Callithrix jacchus: one gene and its partner. The protein of the gene in region 2 purifies or fractionates together with the protein of the main gene of each other region. This does not show direct contact. Links are inferred from orthologs where the notes say so. Each region holds a gene or a part of one and is shown on either strand. Other genes may lie near its edges. The genes, in order: NPLOC4 and UBXN7.

The links.
Region 1: the proteins of UBXN7 (region 2) and NPLOC4 purify together in Homo sapiens (affinity purification with mass spectrometry; 3 studies listed by BioGRID and IntAct, with this or other methods). This does not show direct contact. The link is inferred for Callithrix jacchus from reciprocal best matches to the Homo sapiens genes UBXN7 and NPLOC4.

Annotation. Positions count from the first base shown.
Region 1 is NC_133506.1:137,290,126-137,294,506, forward strand, and holds the start of NPLOC4 (nuclear protein localization protein 4 homolog), read right to left. Parts: upstream 2,814-4,381; 5' UTR 2,637-2,813; coding exon 2,622-2,636; intron 1-2,621. UniProt on the Homo sapiens protein: The ternary complex containing UFD1, VCP and NPLOC4 binds ubiquitinated proteins and is necessary for the export of misfolded proteins from the ER to the cytoplasm, where they are degraded by the proteasome.
Region 2 is NC_133518.1:80,615,896-80,620,427, reverse strand, and holds the start of UBXN7 (UBX domain-containing protein 7), read right to left. Parts: upstream 2,866-4,532; 5' UTR 2,835-2,865; coding exon 2,762-2,834; exon of another isoform or gene 1,830-2,761; intron 1-1,829. UniProt on the Homo sapiens protein: Ubiquitin-binding adapter that links a subset of NEDD8-associated cullin ring ligases (CRLs) to the segregase VCP/p97, to regulate turnover of their ubiquitination substrates.

The DNA of each region.
Region 1 (4,381 bases), on a different chromosome or scaffold from region 2:
CCTGGGTAACATAAGGAAACTTCATCTCTACTAAAAATACAGAAGTTAGCCAGGCATGGTGGCACACGCCTGTGGTCTCAGCTACTTGGGGAATTGAGACATGAGAATTACTTGAACCAGGGAGGTCAAGTTTACAGTGAGCTAAGATGGTTCCACTGTACTCCAGCATGGGTGACATAGTAAGACCCTGCCTCAAAAAAAAAAAAAAAAAGAGAGAGAGATTAAAGTTAAAAACAACAATGGTCATTAATGGTAAAATTTAGCAGGGTTTTAAAAAAATATTTTCGGTTGGGCACAGTGGCTCATGCCTGTAATCCCAGCACTTCAGGAAGCCAAGGCAGAAGGATCCCTTTAGCCCCAGAATTCAAGATCAGCCTGGCCAACACAGCACGCTTGACTCCATCCTAATTTAATATGTATGTATTTTATTTATATATATATATATATATATATATTTTTTTTTTTTAAGTATTTTTTTTTCCCATGGTAAGCCTAAAAAGGGGGCAGATCTGGAATACTATGGGACAAAGAGCATTACTTCCTAAGACGACTTCGTTTTTATGCTGATGAAAGCCATTGTGAAGGTGAGCTATAATGCCTAGCCAACAGTACAGGTCCCTGTTCACATAGGGAGGATGAAATGGCATGCTCTGCAACAAACAAAGACCTGCTCCAACCACCTGCAGACGGGAAGGAGGCTGATAGGAGCATGCTGCAAGTGCTGGTGTCCTAGCTTCTCCTCTCAGCAATGACTGGTAGTGCACTGCAGAGCTTCTATTTCTTGCATTATCATCTGTCTTTAGCTCATTTTTTTCTTTTTTTTTTTTGGAGACGGAGTTCACTTTAGTGGCCCAGGCTGGAGTGCAATGGTGCAATCTCGGTTCACTGCAACCTCCACCTGCCAGGTTCAAGCAATTCTCCTGCCTCAGCCTCCCAAGAGGCTAGGATTACAGGAATGCACCACAACACCCAGCTAATTTTTTGTATTCTTAGTAGAGACGGGGTTTCACCATGTTAGTCAGGCTGGTCTCGAACTCCTGACCTTGTGATCCACCCACCTCAGCCTCCCAAAGTGTTGGAATTACAGGCGTGAGCCATCACGCCTGGCCTGAAGACCGATTCTTGACACCTGGTAAAACTGCAGAGACTGTCACAATACTACAGCATGAACATTACTCCTCACCCAGTACTGCTCAGCTTCCCCCAGAAATCCCAAACCTTTCTTAATACTAATCAAAATTCGGCTGGGCTCAGTGGCTCATGCCTGTAAGTTCCAGCACTTTGGGAGGCTGAGAGAGGCAGATCACCAGAGGTCAGAAGTCCAAGACAAGCCTGACCAACATGGCAAAACCCAGTCTCTACTATAAATACAAAAAAATTAGCCGGGCGTTGTGGCAGGCACCTGTAATCCCGGCTACTCAGAAGGCTGAGGCAGGAGAATCCCTTGAACCCGGGAGGTGGAGTTTGCAGTGAGCCGAGACAGGGCCACTGCACTCCAGCCTGGTCAACAAAAGCAAAACTGTCTCAAAAAAAAAAAAAAATTAACCAAAATTCTGTCCAAGAGTCAGTTAATTTTTCCCCATCACATTTACTTTTGGGGAACAGCTTCTCACAAGTTAACGAGGGGCTGGTTTTCCCTGATTTTTCACTGACATTTTTTACCTTGGTAGGGATGACAATTCGTTTTTCCTTTTTTTGGAGATGCAGTCTCACTCTGTTGCCCAGGCTGGAGTGCAATGGCACGATCTCGGCTCACTGCAACCTCCACTTCCCAGGTTCAAGCGATTCTCCTGCCTCAGCCTCCCAAGGAGCTGGGATTACAGGCGCCAGGCACCACGACCGGCTAATTTTTTGTACTTTTAGTAGAGACGGAGTTTCGTCACGTTGGCCAGGCTGGTCTCGAACTCCTGACCTCACGTGATCCACCCGCCTCGACCTCCCAAAGTGCTGGGATTACAGGCGTGAGCCACTGCGCTCGGCTGACAATTCTCAGTTTCAGGTAAAAAGTTAAATCAACCTCATTTATGACATTCCTTTTAAAGAGGAGTTGTCAAGTTTTCCTTCCTAGAAGGAGCAAAGCCGGGAAGTTACTGCGTTTTCATTTTCCCAGCTCCACCGGCGGGGAGGGAGCTCTGTAACGTCCCCGTCTGCAGTTGCTCTCCTCAGTGATTCATGACAAGGCACTTGCTGGGAAGGGGGAGAGCGGTAGAAGAGAATCGGAGGGAGATTGGGGTAAGAAGTGGCCCTGGCTCTGAGAGGGGCAGGACTAGCTGGGAGTCCCTGGAACTGGACCAGGAAGTCTCCTGGAGCCGGGAACCGGGTGAGGAAGGAGGGCGGTTTCTCTTCGGCACAGTCAATTCTCCCTGCAGAAAGCCTCGGCCTTTCCCTGCCCAGGGCGGGGAACCGGGGTCGCGAGTCCGCCGGGAAGGGACAAGGACGGGAAGCAGCCGAGGGGGTGAAAGTCGCCGAGGGGGGCCCAGCCTCTGCTGAGAAAGCCCGGGTGAGAAAGGGGAAAGGAACCCGGTCGCGGGGCCGGCAGGCCCGCCTCCCCAGCAGGCCGCGGCCGGCAAATCTGCTGCCTCATCCCGGCGTCCCCGCTCCCGCCCGGCTGCCGCACTCACGATGCTCTCGGCCATGGTGGCCACTCCTGCCTCCGGGCTCGAGTCCCGGGCCGCCGCCGCCTGCTGCCCCAAGGGCCTCGCAGACCCGGCCGCGGCCTCAGACCCGGCCCCGGCCTCCCTACGCCGCCGCAACCGCCGCTCCAGCTTCGCCCGCCCGGCTCCGCCAGCCGCCGACGTCCTGGTGCCTCGCTCAAGACTCTCCCCTAGGCGCGCGGCCGGGAAACCAGGTTCCGGTCCCAGCAACGACTGGACGCATGCGCAGGGTGGTGCCGTGGACCCGCCTCCCCTCCCGGCACCGCGAGGAGGCGAATTTTGGAAAAATGCCCCGTCGATGACAACAAATGCTCGTCCTCGGAAACGCAAGCTGTACAGAAAAGCCCAAAAAGGAGGCAAAGACAAGCATCCGAAATCTCACCCAAAAATAGCTACTGCTGCGTATTACAGCGAATTATAATTGGGGAAATAGCATTCCAAACTTCCCTCCATGCACAGCTAAGGAGAGAAACAATTTCAGGGAGAGGACCACACCTTTGTTATTTTTTTTAAGTCTTTTTTTAAATTTAACATGAGACGGGAGCTGCGGTGGCTCTGGCCAGTTGTCCTGGCGCTTGAGGAGGCGAGGCTATGAGTTCAAGGCCAACCTGAGCAACATAAGAAGCTCTCATTGATTAACAAAAAAAGAAAAAATAAAAAAATTTTAACATGAGAAAAACAAATGAATAAAAAAACTACATTTCAGACCGGGCGCGGTGGCTTACGGCTGTAATCCCAACACTTTGGGAAGCTGAAGTGGACAGATTTCCTGGGGCCAGAAGTTCAAGACCCAGCAGGCCAACATGGTGAAACAAAATTAGGCCAGGCACGGTGGCTCACGCCTGTAATCTCAGCACTTTGGGAGGCGGAGGCAGGTGGATCATCTGAGGTCAGGAATTCGAGACCAGCTTGGCCAACATGGTGAAACCTATCTCTAATAAAAATACAAAAATTGAGGCCGGGCGCGGTGGCTCAAGCCTGTAATCCCAGCACTTTGGGAGGCCGAGGCGGGTGGATCACGAGGTCAAGAGATCGAGACCATCCAGGTCAACATGGTGAAACCCCGTCTCTACTAAAGATACAAAAAATTAGCTGGGCATGGTGGCTCTTGCCTGTAATCCCAGCTACTCAGGAGGCTGAGGCAGGAGAATTGCCTGAACCCAGGAGGCGGAGGTTGCAGTGAACCGAGATCGCGCCATTGCACTCCATCCTGGGAAACAAGAGTGAAACCCCGCCTCAAAAAAAAAAAAAAAAAAAAAATTACCCGGATGTGGTCTTGCATGCCTATATTCCCAGATTCTCAGGAGTCTGAGGCCGGAGAATCACTTGAAGTTGTGAAGCAGAGGTCACCGTGAGCGGAGATGGGGTCACCCTTCTCCAGCCTGGGTGACAGAGCAAGACTGTCTCCATCTCAAAAAGGAAAAAAAAAATTAGCTTGGTGAAGTGGCTCATTCCTATAATCCCAGCTACTCAGGAAGCTGAGGTAGTGAGGTAAGAGAATCACCTGAGATCAGGAGGTCAAGGCTGCGGTGAGCCAAGATCATGCCACTGCACTCTAGCCCAGGCAACAGAGTGAGACTTCATCTCAAAAAAAAAAAAACAGAAAAAAGACACCACTTCACAGATCTAAGGATTTTAGGAGCTGCATGCCAGGAAACTGGAAGACCAAATATATACATATTTCACAACATCACAATTTGAGAGTTCTTTTTAACTATGTTAAATTA
Region 2 (4,532 bases):
GAGCCACCCTGCCCAGCCAAGAAACTAAAAATTAATTAAGTGGCTTTTAGGGCTGGGTGTGGTGGTTCACATCTGTAATCCTACCACTTTGGGAGGCTGAGGTGAGTGGATCATTTGAGGTCAGGAATTCGAGACCAGCCAGGCCAACATGAAACGCTGCCTCTACTAAAAAATACAAAAATTACCTGGGTCTGGTGGCACACGCCTGTAGTTCCAGCTACCCAGGAGGCTAATAAGACAGGAGAATCGCTTGAACTCGGGAGGTGGAGGTTGCAGTGAGCCAAGATCATGCCACTGCGCTCCAGCCTGGTGACGGAGCAAGACTGTTTCAAACTAACAGCAGCAACAACTAAAAGAAGTGGCTTTTATCTCTTTCTTTATATTTTTTTGGGGGGGTGGGGGGAAGAGATGGTCTTGCTCTCTTGCCAGGGATGGAATGCAGTGGCCTCCATCAAGGCTGTTTGCAGCCTTGAACTCCTAGGCTCAAACAATCCTCCCACCTCAGCCTCCCCAGCAGCTGGAACTACAGGTCAGTGCCACTACATCCAGCTCTTTTTTTTTTGTTTTGAAAGATGGGGTTTCACCATGATGACCAGGCTGATTTGGAACTCCTGACCTCAGGTGATCCACCTACCTCAGCCTCCCACAGTGCTAGGATTACAGGTGTGAGCCACCGAGCCAGGCTCTTCAGCTCTTTTTTTTTTTTTCCTGTAGAGATGGGGTCTATGTTTTGCCCAGGCTGGTCTCCAACTCCAGGCCTCAAGTGAATTTCCAGCCCTATCTCCCCAAAGTACTGGGATTACAGGCATGAGGCTCCATGCCAGGCCCAAGTGACATCATAAACCACCTCTAGGAAATCTAGAGAAAGGACTAATAATGATATCCACTTCTCAGATTTACTGCAAAGATTTTCTATATAAGCATAATGCAGCAACACTAATTTATATACACAATAATCTTCTCCACAGCAATGATTTGTTAGAGATTAGGAAATCTTTTATATATTTAATATAATTATCTAATCCTGGCCGGGCATGGTGGCTCACGCCTGTAATCCCAGCACTCTGGGAGGCCGAGGTAGGTGGATCATGAGGTCAGGAGTTCAAGACCAGTCTAGCCAATATGGTGAAACCCCGTCTCTAATAAAAATACAAAAAATTGGCTGGGCGTGGTAATATGCGCCTGTAGTCCCAGCTGCTCGGGAGGCTGAGGCAGGAGAACTGCCTGAACCCGGGAGGCGGAGGTTGCAGTGAGACGAGATCGCACCACTGCACTCCAGCCTGTGCGACAGAGCAAGACTCTGTCTCAATAAACGAATAAATAAATGAATAAATAAATAATCCAATCCTTTTTATCTTCAATATGATAACCCAATCACAAAGTTTAAAAATAATATGACTCCTCACCCCAATTTTATTACAAATTTTACGTCACTAACTTTGACCTGATGTTCCATGCCCACAAGCTAGATAACAACGCACGAAACATGCCGCTATCATTGCAAAGCAAAAAATAAAACCAGCTTTAATAATAAAACGGTAACTCGTATACAGCCTGCGGTAGTTAAAACAATATAAAATTTTACTTAACCAGATCTTACGTTAAATTCTAAGAACATTAACAGTGGAAACAAATTCTGCATCTAACAAATCACAAAATATAGATCCGCGGAGACAACTACCATTCTGACCTCCTTCCAAAATGACAAACTAGAACGGCGAAATTACACTCAGGCACATGGAGTACTCTTCTCTCAAATCACTCCACTGAGAACTTCATCATTTGCTCCGCCCTCTAATAACTCATGCAAGAAAAGTTCAGCACCCTCCGAGAGAAACAAGACAGAGAATTCACAGGATGGCTCAGGGCCTTTCCTCCAGGCGGTAAGACGATCTGCCCGTGCCCTTCGCAGGGGTCCACAGGGAGAGAACCACCTAGGCCCAGGGTTTCGGGGGTTCTGACACCCAGAAACAGATTTTCTCTCTCAAAGTTTCTGCCGCCATCCCTATCTTATCGGCAGGAGGCCCCGGCGCCATCGTCTCCGTCTTTATGATTTTATTATGGGGAGGTGGGAAACGCCACCCAGGATTCCTCCAGGCCTCCCCTATCCAGCGTGGGGGTTCCCCCTCATTCTTCCCTCAAAGCCTCCGTCCCTCAGGTCCTCCCCAGCACCCCCCGCTTTGGCGGCCTAACCCCCGGGAAGGGCACAGGCACTGCCGAACCCACCGGCCTCGCGGTGAAGGCGGGAGGGCCCGAACCCGCCAGGGCCATGGCGATGGCTCCGAGGGGCCCGGAGAGGGGAAGGGCAGGCCGGGGACCGGGGCAGAACGACCTGGCCGGGAAGAAAGGGAAAGGGGTGAAGAGATGCGCCGCACCCCAGGGCTGCACAGAGAAGGGAGGATGGTGAGGGGAGGAGGAGGGCGGTGGCCCGGGTGCGGCCCCCCACTCCCCCCGCCCCGGGTCCCCGGGCCGGCGGGGGCGGACGGGCTCGGTCCATTCCCAGGTCTGGGCAGGCGGGGGGGCTGGGGGAGCTCCCTCCACACTACTAGGAGACCCAGAACGAGGGTGTCGGGGGTGCGGGGGGCCGTCTCCCGCCTGAACCCCGAGACCCCCCAACGCCGTCGTCGCCTCTTCCTCGGGAAGGACCGCAGCTGCGGGTAAAGCCCGAAGGCGGAATGCGTGAAGGTAAGGGGGAGCCCGGGGCAGACCCGCCGCCCGCTCGGGACCCCACTCCCCACCTTCCGGTAACCGCGTCTCTTACCGGTGATGGCGGTGAACTGTTGAATTAACCCCTTCAGCGCCGACGACGCCGCGGAGCCCCCGTGGGCAGCCATCTTACCGCCGCCGCCGCCGCCGCCGAACAACAACACAGACACACACGGACCGCCCTCCCCCACTTCGCCGCGCGCCGTGCGCAGACGCACTGGCCGCCCCAAGCCCCGCCCCCGCCGACCGCGCAGGCGCATTTTCTCTCCGGGCCGGCGCGCCGCCCGCTCTCCGGTTGGCTGCCGGGTTGCCGCCTGTCCGGTGGCCGCTGCTCCCTGCGTCCTTCGGCCGCTGCCGGCGCCTCAGCTCCGGGCTCCAGGGCCAGCCTCGCAGGCGCGGGCTCCATTCCTAGATTCCGAGGGCAGCCTGGGCCTCCGCGGACAGCTGGCGTTTCGGCTTCGCGGGCCTCACTGACAGAGCCGACTGCCGTGACAGTGTCGTTTCTTTTTCGCAGTCCCACCGCGCTGTGTTAGGTTCCTGCAGGTCCCAGCAAAATACAAATCCGACGTCCTGGCTTCGAAGCGACTCCCGTCCCGGCTCCCCAGCCTCTAAACTCATGGCTCCGCTCACCGACCGTGGCGAGTGAAACGCCAGAAGTGAAATTCCAGAACCCTTCACGCCAAAGAGCAGGGTGGACACGCGGTAGGTTTTGATGGCGATTGTTTAGTTGCTTTCCGTCAATAAATTGGCCAGTACGTCTCCCCTTAGGGTGTTACTCAGACCCTAAGACGTGTCATTTGTATAAAAACAGACGATGTATATGCGGTAGAGGAAAGAAAACACGGGGAAAGTGTCCTCAAAACGCCAGAGAGGAGAAGGACTGGGCACTTTCCTTAGAGTTTCTTCTGTTTTTATTTTATTTATTTTTGAGACGGAGTTTCGCTCTTGTTACCCAGGCTGGAGTGCAATGGCGTGATCTCGGCTCACCGCAACCTCCGCCTCCTGGGTTCAGGCAATTCTCCTGCCTCAGCCTCCTGAGTAGCTGGGATTACAGGCACGTGCCACCATGCCCAGCTAATTTTTTTTTTTTTTTTTTTTTGTATTTTTAGTAGAGACGGGGTTTCCCCTTGTTGACCAAGATGGTCTCGATCTCTTGACCTCGTGATCCACCCGCCTCGGCCTCCCAAAGTGCTGGGATTACAGGCGTGAGCCACCGCACCCGGCCCTTCTCTTTTAATTTTTGAACAAACATTACTGGCCTGGCGCGGCGACTCATGACTGTAATCCCAGCACTTTGGGAGGCCGAGGTGGGAGGATCGCTTGAGGCCAGCAGTTTGAGACCAGACTGGGAAATATATCAAGACTCTACGAAAAAAAAAAAGAAAATGAAAAAAAAGATTTCGAAAAAAGAAAATGTATTAGTGTGTTACTTGAATAATATTAACTATTTTGTAAAACAATTACATGAGTGGGGTGAACTCAAATCGAATGTCCCCCCACCTTGCCAACAAAGTTACAAGAGATTCCGTGTGATTCTGTTTGTTTTCGCCTCCCACCTTCCGACTTCCACGTATTTTGCATCTTCATAGGAAAATGGTCCACTAAGAGATGGGACAAGTTACCTGGAGAATTGACACATCCTGAGTAAATATGCTATTTGGGAGAATTAAGAAATAGCCATGTCAAATCAAGGGCTGTAGTTTTTGTTTTGTTTTGACAGGGAATCTCACTGTTGCCCAGGCTGGAGTGCAATGGCATGATCCCAGCTCACTGCAACCTCCACTGCCTCCTGGGTTCAGGCGACTCTCCTGTCTCAGCCTCCCGAA